Linked DNA regions of Mus musculus: all the other regions are reported to be linked to region 1. The links are microRNA targets in miRTarBase. Many come from high-throughput screens and were not tested one by one. Region 1 holds a microRNA gene; each other region holds the end of a gene's coding sequence. Distances are from middle to middle.
What was found. The annotated mature microRNA mmu-miR-466a-3p reads UAUACAUACACGCACACAUAAGA and lies in region 1 at 1,890-1,912, shown strand. An mRNA with a match to its seed (bases 2 to 7 or 8) in the 3' UTR can be bound and repressed. Matches are read on the target gene's strand: a 7mer-m8 pairs with bases 2 to 8, a 7mer-A1 pairs with bases 2 to 7 and ends in A, and an 8mer does both.

Region 1 (4,404 bases):
AAACAAACGTGTATATGAAAGCACAGACACAGAGAAAAAAATTGCATTCATTTATACGTTTGAATGATATGCGACTTAAAGTTTTAAAGATTATGCAGTACTGGGACAGTGAACGGTTTTACTCACCAGGTGTGAAAGATTGTGGATCAGGAGTTCTAATTCATGCTTTACTTCATGATGACTTAGAGATATGCCTGGGATTCATGTGATGCCCCCTATGTATCCCTATCTGTATCTGTTTATATTTTGTGTGGATTTGAGTATATGTATGTTCCTATCTACACAAATATATACATGTACACAGACACAAACAGAAACACACACACAAACATCAGTGCAACTCATCGATCCATTTGAATGACGTGTGACTTAGAGTTTTAAGATTCCTCATTACTGAATGGGGAGAGGTCTCACTCAGCAGGTGAAGTCCCTTGACAGAGTCAGGTGGATCAGGAGTTCAAATTTGTGCTGAATTTCATGATGAGTTCATGATCAGCATGGGATTCATCTTATGCCCACCAAAAATGTGCATGTGTGTATAGTTGTCTGCATATTCACTTCTCTATATGAATATGCATATACACACATGCACACACATTCATAGGAATGGCCAGAGCTATGTCTCAGGAGGTGAGTACTCTTGCCAGTGTCAGGAGGATGAGGAGTTCAAATTCATGTTTAACTTCATGATGAGTTAGAGTTCAGCATGCGATTCATGTGATGCCCACCAAGAATGTGCATGTGTGTATAGTTGTGTACATAATCACTTCTGTATATGAATATGCATATACTCACACGCAAACATACTCCCATGAATGGCCCGAGCTATTAATCAGTTAGGAGGTGAATACTCTTGCCAGCATCATGAGGATGAGTAGTTCAAATTCATGTTTAACTTTATGATGAGTTAGAGATCAGCCGGGAATTCATGTGATTTTCCCTGTGTTTGTGTTTATGTGTATAGGGAAGTATGCCTGTACATGCGCGTATATGAACATGCATATGTATATATACACACAACTAGGGACACATATATGTGCACACAAACACACATGGCAGTCATCCATTTGATTTATACGTGCTTAGAGTTTCATTGAGTGTATATTCATGGTATAGTGAATAATCTCACTTATCAGATGAAAACCACTTGCCAGAGTTAGGAGTCTCAGGAGTTCAAATTCATGCTTAACTTCATAATGAGTTAGAGATCACCCTGTTTTTGTGTGATGGACCCTAGGTATGCACAAGTGCATATAATTGTGTGTGCACGTACATGTGTGTATATGATCATACTTATAAATACACACACATACAAATGTATTCACACACACAGGCATGCACACTCACACACATAAGAATGACACTCTTTGATCCATTTGAATGATATATGTCTTAGAATTTTGCTGATTATAAAGTAGAAGGACAGTGAAGGTCTCACTCACCAGGTGTAAACAATTGTCAGTGTCAGGAGGATCAGGAGTTCAATTTCATGCTTAACTTCATGAGCAGTTAGAGATCATCCTGGACTAATGTGATGGCCCCTATGTATGTGCCTGTGTGCGTAAGTGCCTGCATGTATATGCGTGTATATTTTATGCATATACATACACACACCTACACACACATGCACACAGACATGCGGGAATGGCCCTCACGGATCCATTTGAATGAAATGTGACCTACTGCTTTGGAGGTTATGTATGACTGGGCCAGGGTGAGGTCTCACAAACCACGGGAAAACCCTTGGTAGAGTCGGGAAGATCAGGAGTGCAAGTTCATGGTAAAGGCATGATGAGTTAGAGGTCATCCTGGCATTCATGTGATTGCCCCTATGTATGTGTGTATGTGTTGATGTGTGTGTACATGTACATGTCTGAATATGATATACATATACATACACGCACACATAAGACACATATGAGCACACAGACACATGGGAATGGCACTCATCAATCCATTTGAGTGATAAGTGACTTAGAGTGAAAATGCTTGCTAGAGTTAAGAGTATCAGGAGTTCAAATTCATACTTATCCTCATGAGAGATCAGCCTGTGATTCCTCCATGTATGTGCATGTGTGTATAGTTGTGTGTGCATGTTCATGTCTATATTTGAATATACATAACATACACACACACGTATAAACGCAAGCACACATACACAGACACAGGAATGGCATTCGCCAATCCCTTTGAATGATAAGTGATGTAGAGTTTTAGAGATTATGCAATAGGGGACATTGAATGGCCTCACTCACCAGGTGTAAAAGATTGACAAAGTCAGGAGGATAAAGATTTCAAATTCATGCTTAATTCAGTTAGAGATCATCCTGGTATTCATGTGATGCCACCCATGTATGTGCATGTGTGTTTACTTGTATGTGCATTGCATGTGTTGACATGATATACATAACATAAACACACGTGTATATGCAAGCACACACACACAGGAAAAAATTGCATTCATTTATACGTTGAATGATATGTGACTTAAAGTTTTAAATATTATGCAGTAGTGGGTCAGTGAATGGTTTTACTCACCTGGTATGAAAGATTGTGGATCAGGAGTTCTAATTCATGCTTTACTTCATGATGACTTAGAGATATGCCTGGGATTCATGTGATGCCCCCTATGTATATCTATCTGTATCTGTTTCTATTGTGTGTGGATTTGAGTATATGGATGTACCTATCTACACAAATATATACATGTACACAGACACAAACAAAACACACACACAAACATCAGTGCAACTCATCGATCCATTTGAATGACGTGTGACTTAGAGTTTTAACATTCCTCAGTACTGAATGGGGACAGGTCTCACTCAGCAGGTGAAGTCCCTTCACAGAGTCAGGTGGATCAGGAGTTCAAATTTGTGCTGAATTTCATGATGAGTTCATGACCAGCATGGGATTCATCTTATGCCCACCAAAAATGTACATGTGTGTATAGTTGTGTGCATATTCACTTCTCTATATGAATATGCATATACACGCATGCACACACATTCATAGGAATGGCCAGAGCTATGTCTCAGTTAGGAGGTGAGTACTCTTGCCAGAGTCAGGAGGATGAGTAGTTCAAATTCATGATTAACTTCATGATGAGTTAGAGTTCAATATGCCATTCATGTGATGCCCACCAAGAATGTGCATGTGTTTATTCTTGTGTACATATTCACTTTTGTATATGAATATGCATATACTCACATGCAAACATACTCTCACTAACGGCCAGATCTTTGTCTCAGTTAGGAGGTGAATACTCTTGCCAGCATCATGAGGATGAGCAGTTCAAATTCATTTAAACTTTATGATGAGTTAGAGATCAGTCCAGAATTCATGTGATTTTCCCTGTGTATGTGTGTATGTGTATAGGGAAGTGTGCCTGTACATGTGTGTATATGAACATGCATACACACACACACACACACACACACACACACCGAGGGACACATACATGTGCACACAAACACACATGTCAGTCAGCCATTTGATTTATACGTGCTTAGAGTTTCATTGAGTGTATATTCATGGTATATGGAAACATCCAACTTATCACATGAAAACCGCTTACCAGAGTTAGGAGTCTTCTCGTGTCAAATTCATGCTTAACTTCATGTAGAGTTAGAGATCACCCTGGATTTGCGTCATGGACCCTAGGTGTGTACATGTGCATATAATTGTGTGTGCACGTACATGTGTGTATATGATCATCCCTATAAATACACACACATACAAATGTATTCACACACACACAGGCATGCACACTCACACACATAAGAATGACACTCATTGATCCATTTGAATGATATATGTCTTAGAATTTTGCTGATTATAAAGTAGAGGGACAGTGAATATTCTCTCTCACCAGGTGTAAACAATTGGCAGTGTCAGGAAGATCAGGAGTTCAATTTCATGCTTAACTTCATGAGCAGTTAGAGATCATCCTGGACTAATGTGATGGCCCCTATGTATGTGCCTGTGTGCGTAAGTGCCTGCATGTATATGCGTGTATATTTTATGCATATACATACACACACCTACACACACATGCACACAGACATGCGGGAATGGCCCTCACGGATCCATTTGAATGAAATGTGACCTACTGCTTTGGAGGTTATGTATGACTGGGCCAGGGTGAGGTCTCACAAACCACGGGAAAACCCTTGGTAGAGTCGGGAAGATCAGGAGTGCAAGTTCATGGTAAAGGCATGATGAGTTAGAGTCATCCTGGCATTCATGTGATTGCCCCTATGTATGTGTGTATGTGTTGATGTGTGTGTACATGTACATGTGTGAATATGATATACATATACATACACGCACACATAAGACACATATGAGCACACAGACACATGGGAATGGCACTCATCAATCCATTTGAGTGATAAGTGACTT
Region 2 (8,275 bases), not on the chromosome of region 1:
ATGTTGTGGGTTCATTTTCATTAACCTCTAAAAAGTCTTTAATTTCTTTCCTTATTTTTTCCTTGACCAAGTTATCATTGAGTAGAGTGTTGTTCAGTTTCCATGTGAATATTGGCTTTTTATCATTTATGTTGTTATTGAAGATCAGCCTTAGTCCATAGTGATCAGATAGGATGCATGGGATAATTTCAATCTTCTTGTATTTGTTGAGGCCTGTTTTGTCACCAATTATATAGTCAATTTTGGAGAAGGTACCATGAGGTGCTGAGAAGAATGTATATCCTTTTCTTTTAGGATAAAATGTTCTGTAGATATCTATTAAATCCATTTGTTTCATAACTTCTATTAGTTTCCAGAATCTGTCCATTGATGGGAGTGGGGTATTGAAGTCTCCAACTATTGTGTTAATTGCAATGTGTGCTTTGAGCTTTACAATAATTTCCTTAATGAATGTGAATGGTGTTGTCTTTGGAACATAGATATTCAGAATTGAGAGTTCATCTTGGAAGATTTTACCTTTGCTGATTATGAAGTGCCCCTCCTTGTCTTTTTTTGATAATTTTGGGTTGGAAGTAGATTTTATTCGGTATTAGAATGGCTACTGCAGCTTGTTTCTTTGGACCAATTGCTTGGAAAATTGTTTTAGCATCTTTTACTCTGAGGCAGTATCTGTCTTTGTCCCTGAGGTGGGTCTCCTGTATCCAGCAATAAGTTGGGTCCTGTTTATGTAGCCATTCTGTTAGCCTGTGTCTTTTTAATGGGGAATTGAGTCCATTGATAGTAAGAGATATTAAGAAATAGTAATTGTTACTTCCTGTTATTTTTGTTGTTAGAGTTGGAATTCTGTTCTTGCGGCTATCTTCCTTTAGGTTTGTTGAAGGATTACTTTCTTGCTTTTTCTAGGGCAGCGTTTTCCTTATTGTGTTGGAGTTTTCTTTTTATTATCCTTTTTAGTGCTGGATTCCTGGAAAGATATTGTGTGAATTTGGTTTTGTCATGGATTACTTTGCTTTCTTCGTCTATTGTAATTGAGTGTATTGGTGGGTATAGTAGCTAACATTTGTGTTCTCTTAGGGTCTGTATAACATCTGTCCAGGATCTTTTGGCTTTCATAATCTCTGATGAGAAGTCTGGTGTAATTCTAATAGGTCTTCCTTTATATGTTACTTGACCTTTTTTCCCTTTCTGCTTTTAATATTCTATCTTTATTTAGTGTTTTGTTGTTCTGATTATTATGTGTTGGGATGAATTTCTTTTCTGGTCCAATCTATTTGTAGTTCTGTAGACTTCTTGTATGTTCATGGGAATCTCTTTCTTTAGGTTAGGGAAGTTTTTTTCTATAATTTTGTTGAAGATATTTACTGGTCCTTTAGGTTGAAAGTCTTGATTCTCATCTATACCTATTATACTTAGTTTTGGTCTTCTTATTGTGTCTTGGATTTCCTGGATGTTTTGGGTTAGGATCTTTTTGGATTTTTGCATTTTCTTTGATTCTCTCTTCCATCTCTGGTATTCTGTTGCTGATGCTCACATTCATGGTTTCTGATTTCTTTCCTAGGATTTCTATCTCCAGAATTGTCTCCCTTTGGGTTTTCTTTATTTTTTTCTATTTCCATTTTTAGATCTTGGATGGTTTTATTCAATTCCATCACCTGATTGGTTATGTTTTTCTATAAGTCTTTAAGTCTATTGGTTTGTGTTTTCTCTTTAAGGCCTTCTACCTGTTTAGTTGTGTTCCCCTGTATTCCTTTGAGTTATTAATGCCCTTCTTAAAATCCTCTGCCAGCATCATGAGATATGATTTTAAATCTGAATCTTGCTTTTCAGGTATGTTGGGGTATCCAGGACTTGCTGTGTGGTGGGAGTACTACTTTTTTTTGATGCTGGGTAATCTTGGTTTCTGTTAGTAAGATTCTTATGTTTGCCTTTCCCCATCTGATAATCTCTGGTGTTATATGTTCTAGCTGTCTCTGGCTGGAGCTTGTTCCTCCTGTGATTCTGTTAGCCTCTGTCAGCACTCCTGGGAGTACAACTCTCTCCTGAGTCCCAGTGGCCAGAACACTTTCTGTGGTCAAACCCTCCTTTTGCAGGGAAGGTGCACAGAGGTCTGGTTTTCAGATCTGCCCCCTAGCTGAAGATGAAGGCCCGAAGGGACCCTGTCCAGAATCTCTGTTGCTTCTGCGGCCAGCATGCTCTTCTGCTTGGATTGGTCTCTGAGAAACCCGGTAAAGGAGATGGCGCTCTCACCTGAGTCCCCTAGTCAGAGACCTCCCTGGAGGCCAACTTTCCTCTGGTGCCCAGAGGTCTGGGTCTCAGCTCTGCCTCCTGGCTGAGGATGAAGGCATGAAGGGACCCTGTCTGTTGCTTCTGTGGCCTGTGCGCTCCCCTGCGTGGACTGGTCTCTTAAAGACTCAGTATACAAGATGGCTGTCTTACCTTAGTTCCGCAGTCAGAACCTTCTCTGGAGGCAGACTCTCTTCAGTGTTTCTAAGATCCTGGGCATGCTAGGGCACCTATGGCATGGAGAGTCCTCTGGGGACAGTGGGACCATCTATACAGTTTGTGGCCAAGGTGGCCCAGGGCTGGTCCCTACTGGAATGAACCCCAAGTGCTGGTTGGTTAGGTTTCCTGTATTTTTGTACCTGCTGGCACAAGTCCCTCCCGGTTGTTTTGGAACAGATGTTGCATTCCACTCACCAGTGATCCCAAGATCCTGGGTATACTAGGGTGCCTATGGTGTGGACAGTCCTCTTGATATGGTGGGACCATCTGCCGAGTTCGCGCCCAAGGTGGCTCAGTGATGTCGTTATTTTTAATAGCTGCATATTAGTCCATTGTGTAAGTGAGCCACATTTTCTGTATCCATTCTTCAGTTGAGGGACATGTGGGTAAATAAGTCAAGATTTTAGAATTTTCAATTATTTTTGTTTTCATGTTTTAAACTACCTATTAACAGCACATGTTACTTCTAGATTGCATCCAAACTATCTCCCTTGCTATATACCCTACATCGTTCTCTAGGGTATAGTATGGTATGTATTCTTGATGCTCCCATCTACTTGCCTTCCTCAAACTGCCATATATAGCCAGGGTCACGCATCTAGTGCCTGGGCCTATTCTGGCCTCTCTTGACTGGGCTCTAAATGATGCCTAGGCTTTTGCAGGACCTTATCTACCCATCACCTAGTCCATAGGCCCCTCTGAAACCACATGTGACCTTTTCACCTAGCCAGATCTACCCTCACACTCTAGGCTTGGACCAGGAGGCAAATCTTATATATCAACCCACTCTCCTCTGTCCACCTGACATCATTCTATTCAAGTTAGATCTAACTTCTAATTCCAAGTTGCCTGTACACGTTCTCTTCTGTGCCAGTCTAATAGGTCTATATCAGACCTAGAACTAACAAAAGAAGTTCAAATGCTAAGATCTCATCAATGAACTATCAATAATATCAGGTTTTGTTGCATTGAATTTTCATTTTCATTTAATTCCAGGATTTTTTTTTTAAATTTTCTCCTTGACCCACTCATCATTCATTAATGAGCTGCTTAATCTCCATGTTACATCGTTATCAAAAATTCTATAGTTTTTTTCTTTTTGTTGTGTCTTTATATGACTTTGGTAATAGGATAATACTGTTTTCATAGAGTGAGTTCTAGAGAGTTTATTTCCTTTCTGTTTTATGGAATACAGTGAGAACCATTTACTCTCTCTGTTCTTTTACTATCTGATAGAATACTGCAGAGAATCTATCTTTTCTGTGTGGATAAAATCTTTTTTTCCTATTGTTTCTTTGAGCAATTCTTAAGAATAGGTCAGCTGATGGCAAAAGTTGAATTCCACAGTGATATCTTAGCATACATGAGTTCTTTCAGTTAGGTTTAATACTGCCAAAGAAGCCTTATGTTTGTGAAATTGTTTATTTCATTTCAGAAAGATAGTCTATCTAGGCATATTTATAATAGACTTTTTCTTTTAGTGCATGCTACTTAATTGATTATAGATGTCATGGATTTAGAACAGATACACAGATATTTGTTTTTTTGTTTTGCTTTTTTTTTTGTCTTTGTGTGGGTAAGGCAACATCCCCTCATGTCTATTTTAAGTAATTGAATTTTTTCATGAAATTTGACTGTGTTTATCATATGTGCGGACACCACTGGATTTACCCTAACTAGAGTCGCAAAGAGTTTTGAATCTTTAAGGTTTTAACTTCTACTAAAGTTAAAAGATTTTCAGCTTTCCCGTCTTTGAGTGGTCAGGCAACACTATAAATATGTATATATATAATTTTTTCCCTTTTGAAGCACAGTAGTGTGAATGTCGAATATTTTCTTGTTTGACTATTCAGTCTGCTGCAATTTTTTTAGTATGTTATTGTAATTTTCAGATGGAATAATTTGTATTGATCTTTCAGATTCCAATGCTGTGCTCCATATCTTGCATTCTAGTTAAGCCCATTCAGTAGATCTTTTCTTTTTCTTTATTCTATTTATGGTATTTGAAGATAGACACTTTATAATATTTGCATTTTCGTTATTTTTCTGTGAAAATGGTTCATAGTCAATGGCTGGCTTTCATAAAAATACTTGAGATTTCAGTTTATTTTGTAGGATCAAAACCTTGATTATAATAACTTATATTAACTTATTATGATTCTAAGTGAAATTGAATCATCTTTTAAAAACTATTTTTGGTAACAAATTTGAACAGGTTTAATTTTTTATTGTTAAATGAACAAAAGAAATGATGAAAAATTAAGTTTGTTAGACACTGACATTTCTAAAGTGTCAGTGACGTAACCCAAACTCAGAAAGACAAACACTGTATCTTATCTCCCATCTATGGTACTTAGCTTCAAATTTCAGAAGTGAGTTTATTACCTGGAACAACTACATTAAACTGGAAAGATCAAAGAGGCTATGGTGGGATGGAGAGGAGTACTAGAGAGGGAATATCAGTATGTGGGTGAAATGAAGAAAGAAATGGGAAAAATGGTTCTCCAATATTATGTTGTCAACCCTAAAAAGAATACAATAAAGAAAGCAATATATAAAGCAACAATAAAGACGGGCTACATTTATATATTTATTCATTTATTTATACATACACATAGCAATAATACATTATGCATGTGGAATTATAATTAATAAAAATTCATTTTATAAAGAGTAAAATGAGTCAGGGGACAATGGGTAGCAAGCAGTGGGTAGAGGGAAGGAGAAGTGGTGTAATTATATTTAATTAAACATAAAAATTTGAAAAGAAGTGACCCTTTAGATTTAATCACACATAAATATTATAAAACTTAAAGAACTTTTTAAGGATTGGATCAGTATGGACTGCCCCAGAAATAGATAGGAAGGATGAGAGCTTTTCATTGATTAGGCACAATTTGGTCTCTCAGGATACTGATGAAATCAGAAACCTTCTGTGCATCATTGTTCAAGCAGAAAAACAAACTATGCAAACCAAAAAGTTGAACTCTCCTTTTTGATTGCTGTACATATGGCTCTCCTGACCAGGCAGGGTAGTCTTCATTTTTCTTAAGGTCAGGATTAACCTATTTACCAAATAAAAGTCAGCCAGTTATTATTCACATTATTAATATTTATTGAGCTTCATTATTTAAACAATTTGAATGATATTTTGAAGAATATTATGAATATAAATCTTAAAGAAATACACGTGTTTCATGTATGTAGACTAGGGTACTACCAATTTGTTAGTTATCTTAAAACTAGACAGAACTATGCATATATTTTTGTAATATAGTTGATCCAAGATGAAATATATCATTCTAGGAGGAGACAGAATTGCTTCTTGACTATGGACATGGTTTTGACCAAGGGATATGGAAGAATCTATAATCAGTTCTCTTGTGAGGAGGCTTCCATGTTTTCCATGTCATCCCTGAGGTGCCATTTGTAGTTTACTACTCTTTTTTTTTTTTTTTTTTTTGGTTTTTGGTTTTGTTTTTGTTTTTTGAGACAGGGTCTCTCTGTGTAGCCCTGGCTGTCCTGGAACTCACTTTGTAGACCAGGCTGGCCTCGAACTCAGAAATCCGCCTGCCCCTGCCTCTGCCTCCCAAGTGCTGGGATTAAAGGTCTGCACCACCACCACCCGGCTAATTGACAATTTTGCTTTCCTCTATTTCAACAATATTCGTTTTCCATAATTTATGGACACAAAGCTACAGAACTGATGAGGATTGCACCTGGTGGGTTAAAATTCTTCTAATGTATGGATGACTGTGGTGAAATCGTCGGGATACTTAGACTGCACAGGAAAGGCACTGTCCATGCTATTTCTAGCAATCATTAATGCATCAGGAGAGCTCTGTGTTGTGGGGTGCTGAGTGGAAACACTTTTGAGCTGCCACAGTCCTATTAGTCCCTAGATTGTTTATGAGATTACCTGGCTAAATTTCGCTGTGGCAGGCAGAGAATCAGTCCCAGGTTTGTTTTCTTTTTTCCTTTCCTTTCCTTTCCTTTCCTTTCCTTTCCTTTCCTTTCCTTTCCTTTCCTTTTCGTTTGTTTTATTTTTCGAGACAGAGTTTAGCCCTGGCTGTCCTGGAACTCACTCTGTAGTTTTCATTATAGATGCTACATCTATCATAAAACACAAAAGCCATAAGATTTAAAAGAGACCACTTACCTGGCTGAGTATAGTCTTAATGTTCTGCAGATTTTTAGTGAGTTTTTTGATTTGTCTGTCAATCAACTTAACTTTTGATATGATAACATAAGGAGTTCCATCGAGATCAGCCATGTTGTTTTCTACATGGTGCAGAAGGTTTTTCCAGGCAGCCAGCATTCTAATTGTCACATTCAGAAGCACCACAGGCTAAGCAAAAACAATTGAGCATCACGTTAATATAAGGGTATAATTGGGGGTTTGAATTGTATGTGATAACTAGTTGAGTATTCAGAGCTTGTGAAGTATTGATGGTTGGTTGAAGCAATACTGAACTAGTTTGTGAAGTGTCTAGCCATGGAGCAGATCTTAGGAGGCACTTTCTCTTCCTCTACCTTTTCTTATGCTTTACAATTGCTATGTTCCTAGCAGATATGCAGAATGCTGGTCTAGCAAGTCATCAGGGAGACCAGATTATATGTGTGCCATGTGCACATATATTATGATAATTACTTTAAATTATGCTGAGATTGGTTATGAGCAGGCCATCAGATAAGCAGCCTATATATAGTAACACACACACACACACACACACGCACACACACACACTAGCACTGCCTGCCTAATACATATCTATACCCCATAAAACACGAATAGTATTTTACTGGACCTGCATGTAAAGCCCCTAGAGAATGGTGTCAGGTAAGAGTGAAGAAGTAAGCAGAAGAGCAGAAGTACAAGTAACATCTTCCAAGTCAAGACGAGTTTATACGTGGTGGCACACGCCTTTAATCCCAGCACTTGGGAGGCAGAGGCAGGCAGATTTCTGAGTTCGAGGCCAGCCGGGTCTACAGAGTGAGTTCCAGGACAGCCAGGGCTACACAGAGAAACCCTGTCTCGAAAAAACAGAAAACAAAAAAACAACAACAAAAAAAGAAGAGTTTATGTCATGATTAGTAGTGTGCAAAGCTTCCCAAGGAAGTACTCTAGTAATAGTAAAAATTACAACTCTAGTTCCCCCCCCCCTTTTTTTTTTAAAGTCTGCATGGGAGAGTAAATTTAACCATGAAAATTCCAATCAATTCAAAGTTTCTTCCATAATAAAAGGTTCAATCCTAATGATAAAGCTGTTATTAAAATAGGGAATGATTCATGACCAATTCATGACTATGCTTTAAAGTTACTCTCTTATTTTACATGTACTTTATTAGCTATAGGGTATGCCTGTCTTGTGCTGCTTGCTCTGTCTGCACATTCCTGAAGGTTTGGTTACTGTGTTAGTGAATACCTGTTATGAGGACTTACCCGCATTCTTTCAGCCTTCCTTTTGTTGTTTGGGACAGAGCGGGATGAAGTGTGACAGGTCATGGTGGGCCTGTTCTGGAATTTCTGGTGGGGATCATACTCTGTATCCTGGAAATAAAAAAACAAACAATCAGTTAGAGTTTTGGAATTGAGTAAAAGAACTCATGAGCAGACTGTTAGTTATTAATGCACTTTCTACAGGTGTTTAACATATTTATTTTCTTAGGTTTTTTGTTGTGGAATTTCACCTATGAGTACTGTATTTATGTAATAATCACCCTACAGTCTAGTCCCTGCAAGTCCTCCTAGATTCACATGCCTTCTCAACTT
Region 3 (8,275 bases), 110 Mb from region 1:
GGTTGCTGGGATTTGAACTCATGACCTTCAGAAGAGCAGTTGGCGCTCTTAAGTGCTAAGCCATCTCTCCAGCCCTATGCATGCCCTTTTAAGTTAGCTTTTGTTTAGCCTGGCAGTTATGTTGTAGCATAAGTCACAAAACAATGTCTTATTGATTGTATTTATTAACATTACTAGTGTTGCTTCGTTAAATTGGAAATTGTCCTTTCTTTTTTAAATATAACTGGTAAAAAGAAAGGGCCAGCCTGGTTTACAGAGTGAGTTCCAGGACAGCCAAGGCTACACAGAGAAACCCTATCTCGAGAAAACCCAAGCCATAAGAGAATTACAAACTGAAGCTAGCCATGGTGACACACTCCCAGCACTGGAGTGGCAGAGGCTGGACCACTGTGAGTTTGAAGCCAGCCTGATCTACAGAGCTCGTTGCTAGTTTTAGTACAGCCAGCCAGGGCTACATATCAAGACCCTCTCTTAAAAAGATAGAGGGGATGGGGATCAGAGGGTTGCAAAACCTGGAAACAATTATTTTTGAAACAAGGTCTTATATAGGCTGTCTTCAAATCTGCTGTATAGTTGAAGCTGATAAAAACTGGACATTGGACTTTGCACTTACCTCTACAGTAATATATCTCAGTCTCCTGCAAGTGATTTAAAAATAGAACAAAGAACAACAACAAAAAGATGAGCTGAGTAATGACTTTGAAGATTTTATTAATGCAGATTCAGAAAAATTATGTGATATTTTCAATGTAATGTTTATCCCTGGTGTCTTGTCAGTTATCTGAACCAGTATAAGGTTGTGTTTAGGGAAGTCGCTTTATGTGAGATGGTTATTATCAACCACTGAAGGTTATCCTCCTCTTCCTCCCCTCCTCCTCCGTCCTTCTCCTTTTTCTTCCTTTTTTGAGATAGAGCTCAATATGTAGTGCTGACTGGCTTAAAACTCACTCTGTAGACCAGGCTGATCTCAAAGTCACAGAGAGCCTCCTGCCTCTGCCTCCCAAATGCTGGGAATCAAGATGTGCCATTGAGTTAGATTTTAGTTATCATAAATATGTGTCTTTCCATTTTTTTTTTCTTTAAGATCTTTTGGGTCTTTTGAGGCAGTGTTTTTCTATGTAGCCCTGGCTGTAGCCTAGGCTGGCCTTGGACTCACAGAGATCCACCTGCCTCTGACTCCTGATTGCTGGGATTAAAGATGAATACCATGATGCCTAACTTATTCCATTTTTCTGTTTGTGTGACAGCCTAGGTTTTGCCCTAAGTAAAAGGGAAGAACCTTTTTTACTACTGATAATTCCATTAAAAGGTTAATTATATTCATTAGATTTGCTTATTTCAAATTAACAGTCCTAATTAAAGGAAAAGAAATGAAACTACTAGAGAAGAAAAGTTACTATTTTTCTCCCTGTATTACTACTTTTCTGTCCCAGAATTCCTCACAGAAGCAACTTAGAAAGAGGTTTGAAATACATCGAACATGGTAGGGAAATCCCTGTGGCTGGGGCAATGGGGCAACTCCCATCTGTGGTGGCAACAACTTGCAGCATGGCTTCTTCACATCATAATGGATTAGGGATTGGAGAACACCTTCAAGGTCTGTCCCTAGTGATCTACATCTACCAGTGCCCCAAAACTCCAATAAGTACTCAAACAGCGTCACCCAATAGGGACCAAGTGTTCAAACACAGGAGCCTGTGGGATAAATTTACATTCAAAATATAACACTCTCTTTCAGATATGTGGTACATATGTTGGATCTGGCTGTGACTTTCATTGAGAAATTTGAAACCCATCTTGAAACAGTTAAAAATAGCCCTCATTTAGACGCAAACCTAAAGCAAATGGTGAGTATCATTAATATAGCTGCTCTCTGTTTTTTGTCTTGGTTTTATCTTTTAGATAGTCTCATGTAGCTCAGGCTAGCCTCAGGCTCCTAAGGAGAAATGTATTTCATCACGACACTGTCATATGAATATGTGATTAACCTTTGCTCTAGTGGGTTCTCCTCTGGGGCTGTCCTCTCTCATCTTCTCCATCCCGCTCTCCTAGCCCTCTCGCCTCCTCCAGATAAAGGCGCTTTTTGTTTGTATGTCACATGGACTGTTACTCTTTCACTCTCACCTCCAGCCCTTCATGTCTCTTCCTCTTCGCAGTCTCCTGCAGAAACACAGACCATTCAAATATAGAATATACATACAAGACAAGCCTTACCATGTTTGTCTTTCTTCACTTGGCTTATTTCACTTTGAGTTAGTCATTATTAAAATCATGAAACATAAAAAAAGACAAAGATTTTCTTAGCCATGGTGCCCTGTACCTATAATTGTTATTAATCGTAACAGCCAGGGCTGTTACACAGAGAAACCCCGTCTTTAAAAACCAAAATTTAAGAAAAAGATTTATTTATGTATGTATGTATTTATTTAGGCAGGTTCTTACTTTTTAGCATAGAGTGACCATGCATTCACTATATGATTCAGGCAGGCCTTGAGTTCAAAGTGCTCCTGGTTCAACCTCCAATAGACTGAGAACTTTAGACTTTACTCTCTGAATACTGGGGAGCCATTGCATTTTTTGTTGGTAGTGAAGGTTGTGGTTTTTACTTTTGTTTTTTATTTTAAAATGTGTGTATGTTTGTACACTCACATTGCAGGGAGGGAGGGAGGAGAGAGAATCACACCTAGGTGCTCCAGAAGAGCAGCAAGTATACTCTTACAGCCAAGCTGTCGCTCCAGCACTAAAGGACTAGAAAAAGATCCAATGCTAATTTTTGAAGTATTTATTTCTGTAATCAATGACAGGTTTTTTTCTATTTTTCTTTATTTCAAATGTTACAGAGCAAAGCTTTAGCCAAGATGGATATTTTGGTGAACAAGACAGAAGAACTGGCAGAGAATATACTCAAGTGGCGAGAACTACAAACAGAAATTTCCTTGTATATCCCCAAAATGCTAACTGAAGAACGCCATCTTCATGAACTTGACATAGTGCCTCCTTTACCTTTTTTTCCTAAGGCTCACACCGAAACCTCCAGGGCCAAGTGATGTCATCTTTACTTTGGATTAATTACATGTAGTCAAAGAAGTCCGTTTCTAGATTGTTGTGACAGGGATATTGATAGTTTTTCTTGCTAGCAATATTAATGGAATAGTGGAGCCAGAAAGATGTCTCAGTGGGAAAAAGCTCCTACTTCAAGCCTTCCAGCCTGAGTTCAGTCCCTGGGATCCACATTAGCAGAAGGGGATCACTGATTCCCACAGATACTCGATCCTATGGTGTCCACACTTGTGTCATCATATGTATGTGCCTGTACACACAAAAATAGAAAAATGAAAGTGTGTGTGTGTGTGTGTGTGTGTGTATGTATGTATGTATGTATGTGCACGCGCACATGAGAGAGCGAGCACATTGGAGTACATATGGCTTCACTTCTTTACATGTTTTCACTCTCTTTCTTCAGTGAAGCTTAAAAATGATAACTGTGGGGCTGGTGGGTTGGCTCAGGGGATAAGAGCACTGGCCACTCTACCACAGGTCCTGAGTTCAATTCCCAGCAACCACAAGGTTGCTCACCACCATCTATAAGGGGGTCTGATGCCCTCTTCTGGCCTGCAGATGTATGTGCAGCAGAGCACTCACATTGAATTAAAATTGTTTTACTAACAACAAAAAAGATTAACTATATGCATGATAGTTTATTATAAGTGAGTTGAACATTCTTCATACAGAAGATTGTGTGCTATGATTCTGCATTACATCTTTTAAAACCATTTCTGAATTGAATGTTCCTGAATCTGAAACTGTCGTGATTATTCCTGTGAGATTGTAGATTAGCTACATACCAGGACTGTAACCCTTTGAAGACTTCGTAAAGTGGTGGTTCCTTGGCTGACCCATCTAGAAACTTATGTAATAAGAGGCTGAGAAGGGCTCAGTTTGAACAGACTGTACAGTGTAGTTTGTGTGGGATACTTTCTTTCCTTCTGAGAGCCTAGGATGTTGGTCCGTACCAAGTAGAAAGTACCTTTGGTACTGGTCCCTGGCATTGCAGAGCACCTCGTCCCTAACAGTTTTGATGGTAGATAGCATTCAACAAATGTAACAAAGCCGGGTGTGGTGGCGCGAGCCTTTAATCCCAGCACTCTGGAGGCAGAGGCAGGCGGATTTCTGAGTTCGAGGCCAGCCTGGTCTACAAAGTGAGTTCCAGGACAGCCAGGGCTACACAGAGAAACACTGTCTCGAAAAAACAAAACAAAACAAAAAAAACCATGTAACAGCTGAGTTGCTGTACTGAGTCACTGCTGTGAGTGATGACACCAAGTCTCATAACTCCTCTTGGCAGATAGATCACTCACTGAACCTGGCTGTGTTAGGAAATAAACGCTGAGGACCAACAGAGAAGAAACGGAGTCTTCGTGTAAAAGTTTAGAATTCTTTGTTTTGGTACTTCCTATATGTAGCCAAGGCAGAACTTGAACTCACTATGTTTCCCAGGGTGGTCTCAAACACATGATTTTCCTTGCCTCTGCCGCCCTAGTGCTGGAATCACAGACATGTGGTATCATATCTGGCTAAAGTTTAGAGGTTTGTAATGGAAAATACTAATATATTTTACCTACTTAGGGTTATTTTTATTTTATTATTTTAGGGTTATTCTTAAGATGGAGGCAAGTATACTTAAAAGTAGAGATTGTAACAATTGTCTCAAGATTTTCTCACTCATCAGTCCTGTAAGTACTTCGCCTTATGTTTAAGCTAGGATCTGAGTTCCTTTCAAACGTGTGCATTAGGATTTCCTTACTGTTTTATTCTGCACTGTGGGAGTGTAGCAAACCTGCTCATCATGCTCTTAATACAAGACTTGGTGCATAGTAAAGTAGATGTTCACAAGGAAGCAGGGTCTTTACCCTACCCCCAACCTCCAAAAGGGCCCTGCTAAAACAATAGATTATTGTCTTGAAAGTCTCCCGCTTTTACAAATGTGCCATATAAGAGTGGTGTTAAAGTTGGGTGTGGTGACGCACGCCTTTAATCCCAGCACTTGGGTGGCAAAGGCAGGCAGATTTCTGAGTTCGAGGCCAGCCTGGTCTACAAAGTGAGTTCCAGGACAGCCAGGGCTATACAGAGAAACCCTGACTCCAAAACAAACAAACAAACAAAAAAACCAGAGAAACCCTGTCTTCAAAAACCAAAAAAAAAAAAAAGTGGTGTTAAGGTTTTGAACATCACCTAGCCAAGTTAGTAAAATCTTTATTTGTATTTCATCTCAATTTTTTTAACTATTCATTTTCCTTGTATGAATTCTTGTGTGTTTTATGTGTAAATATATTCATTATTTTGACACTATCAATATTCTTTGTGGTTTTGTAATTTTTACTTTTATTAATGACTCAAGCTGTAAAAATAAACTAATTTCAACTAAATGTGGCTCCAATATGAATCCCAAGCAACAGAAAAAAAAATACTCTTAGCTTAACACATACAACATAGAAGCATTCGAGCTGTCTGGCTCACAAAAGCTTAAGATAATTTAAACTTAAATTCTAACATAGAGAGAAAAGCTAATTTTATATCAGTGTGGTCAATAAGTAGTGAGTTTGTTTATAGAAGACAGTTACTCGGGATGGAGAGAGAATTGGATTCAACAATCCTCTGGCCTCTGCTCGCCAAATATTGAGAGTACAGGCATATGTCACTGTGTCTGGCTTGAACAAGTGTTTTTATTCTTGTGAAACTAGAGGGCAGTTCTAAGGACAGGCAAGCTACAGATATCTATAGTTTCATGGAAGAAGAAGATGGATAAGAAGAGAAAGCTGAGACTGGTGAGATGACTCAGCGAGTAAGAGCATTGACTGCTCTTCTGAAGGTCCTGAGTTCAAATCCCAGCAATCACTTGGTGGCTCACAACCATCTGTAATGAGATCTGACTCCCTCTTCTGGAGTGTCTGAGGACAGCTACAGTGTACTTACATGTAATAAATAAATCTTAAAAAAAAAAATAAGTCTTTGGGATGGAGCAATCAGGGACTGAGCGAGGGGGGTTGACCAGAGCAAACAGAAATCCTAAAAATTCAATTCCCAACAACCACATGAAGGCTCACTACCATCTGTACAGCTACAGTGTGCTCACATCCATAGATAAATCTTTTTTTTTCTTAAAGATTTATTTATTGGTTATATGTAAGTACACTGTAGCTGTCTTCAGACACTCCAGAAGAGGGAGTCAGATCTCGTTACGGATGGTTGTGAGCCACCATGTGGTTGCTGGGATTTCAACTCCGGACCTTCGGAAGAGCAGTCGGGTGCTTTTACCCACTGAGCCATCTCACTAGCCCAAATCTTTTTTTTTAATTTTTTTAAAAGATTTATTTATTATTATAAATACACTGGGGCTGGTGAGATGGCTCAGTGGGTAAGAGCACCCGACAGTTCTTCCGAAGGTCCAGAGTTCAAATCCCAGCAACCACATGGTGGCTCACAACCATCTGTAACGAGATCTGACGCCCTCTTCTGGAGTATCTGAAGACAGCTACAGTGTACTTACATATAATAAATAAATAAATCTTTGAAAAAAAAATACACTGTAGTTGTCTTCAGGCACACCAGAAAAGGGGTCAGATCTCATTACAGATGGTTGTGAGTCACCATGTGGTTGCTGGGATTTGAACTCAGGACCTCTGGAAGAGCAGTCAGTGCTCTTAACCACTGAGCCATCTTTCCAGCCTCATAGATAAATCTTAAAAAAAAAAAAAAAGAAGCTACGAGTTAGCAAGAACACACAGGCAGGAGCTGAGGAGAAAGCTCAGTGGGCAAAAGTTCACAAGCAAGGGTAAGGACTTGAGTTCAAATCCCCAGAAGCCACATAAATGGGAGGCAAAAGAAAGGCCAGCTAGTTCCTATACAAAGCTGCAGACAAGAGATCCTGTTAGAGGTGAGAACTAACACCCAAATTTGCCCTCTGACCTCCTCACTTGACCACAGTCCTATACATACAGAAATAAATGAGGAAGCAGGTCCAGCAGGGGAAGTCTTTTGAGTGGCTTCTGGGCTTGGAGGTGGGAATGTCAGGCTTAGCCATGAGGGTTTGATCAAACTTTTTTTTTCTTTCTGAGACAATTTCTCTGTGTAACAGCCCTGCCTAAAACTTGCTTTGTAGACCAGGCTGGCCTCAAACTCAGAGATCCACCACCTGCCTCTGCCTCCCAAGTGCTGCAATTAAAGACATGTGCCACCACCACTTGGCCTTGATCAAATTATAAAGTTTGATTTCTACATGTAGATAATAAAAAAAAATCAGGAATGTATTTTCTACTTATATTAGAAGAGGTATGTGAGATTTGTAAATGTGATTCCAGAATAACTATGCCAATTTGTAGACTATTTGGGATCACTCTTCTTGTCTTTTGTGGCTCTTTACTTATTTTTCTGGCCTGTGACTTCAGCCCTCAGCTCTCATTTGTCCTTTTGGAGTTTCAGTGAAATCAGGAGGTTTGAGGAACAAGAGAATCTTAAGAAAAATTTTGATTTAAATCATATGGGGAGATGGTGGGGAAGAAGCCATTATATAGTTGATTTTGTAATGACTCAGAGAAGTCAATACATGTGAGATTTTCTCAGATGTTTGTAAAACAAATGAATTTATATAAAAGATGCTACAGAGATGGCTGAGCAGTTAAGAGCACTGGCTGCTCTTCCAGAAGATCCAAGTTTGAATCCCAGGTTCAGTCCCAGGGGAATCCATTGGCCTACTGACAAGGTGTACAGACCTTCCTTACATTAAGGCAAAAACATTCGTCCACATAAAGAAAATGAAAGGAAAAAGTTTATGAGGCCCAGGATGGTGGCACACACCTTTAATTGTAGCAGAGGCTACAATTAATGAAGCAGGCAGGTGGATGTCTTGTGAGTTTGAGGCTCCATAGTCCACATACCAAGTTTCAGTTTCAGCACAGTCAGGGTTGTATAGAGGATTCTATCTCAAAAACAAAGTTTTAAATGGGATTTGGGGAGATGATTCTTGTCAGTAAAGTGCTTGCCACAAAAGCATGAGGGCTTGAAATCAGATTTTTCAGCCAGGCACACACCTGTAATTCTAGTGTTAGGGAAGCAGACCCAGGAGGAGCTCTGAGACTGGCTGGCCAGCCTGCCTAGCCAACTGGTGAGCTTCAGATATAGTGAGAGGGTTTGTCTCAAAAAATACAGTGATGAGCAACTAAGGAAGATACTCCGTGTCTTGTGCCTACCTCTGGTCGCCATGTCCTGAGCTCACATG

Region 2: the mRNA of Prl5a1 is a reported target of mmu-miR-466a-3p. Seed matches in the 3' UTR shown: 8mer at 5,106-5,113.
Region 3: miRTarBase lists Haus2 as a target of mmu-miR-466a-3p. Seed matches in the 3' UTR shown: 7mer-m8 at 3,300-3,306, 7mer-m8 at 3,364-3,370, 7mer-m8 at 3,368-3,374, 7mer-m8 at 3,372-3,378 and 7mer-m8 at 3,376-3,382.

Annotation. Positions count from the first base shown.
Region 1 is chr2:10,496,845-10,501,248 of GRCm38, forward strand. It overlaps Mir466b-2 (microRNA 466b-2), which reads left to right and starts at 1,841; the gene lies at 1,841-1,922. The region is part of intron 10 of Sfmbt2 (Scm-like with four mbt domains 2); the gene reads left to right. It overlaps Mir467a-9 (microRNA 467a-9), which reads left to right and starts at 1,549; the gene lies at 1,549-1,631. It overlaps Mir669a-10 (microRNA 669a-10), which reads left to right and starts at 2,067; the gene lies at 2,067-2,153.
Region 2 is chr13:28,148,409-28,156,683 of GRCm38, reverse strand. It overlaps Prl5a1 (prolactin family 5, subfamily a, member 1), which reads right to left. Exons shown (of 5, transcript NM_023746.4): 3 at 7,946-8,053; 4 at 6,662-6,850; 5 at 5,089-5,567. The coding sequence ends at 5,382. Among named protein-coding and RNA genes, the nearest start is that of Prl5a1, 10 kb to the right of the region's middle.
Region 3 is chr2:120,616,135-120,624,409 of GRCm38, forward strand. It overlaps Haus2 (HAUS augmin-like complex, subunit 2), which reads left to right. Exons shown (of 6, transcript NM_025475.3): 5 at 1,739-1,847; 6 at 2,841-5,426. The coding sequence ends at 3,047. Among named protein-coding and RNA genes, the nearest start is that of Stard9, 8.8 kb to the right of the region's middle.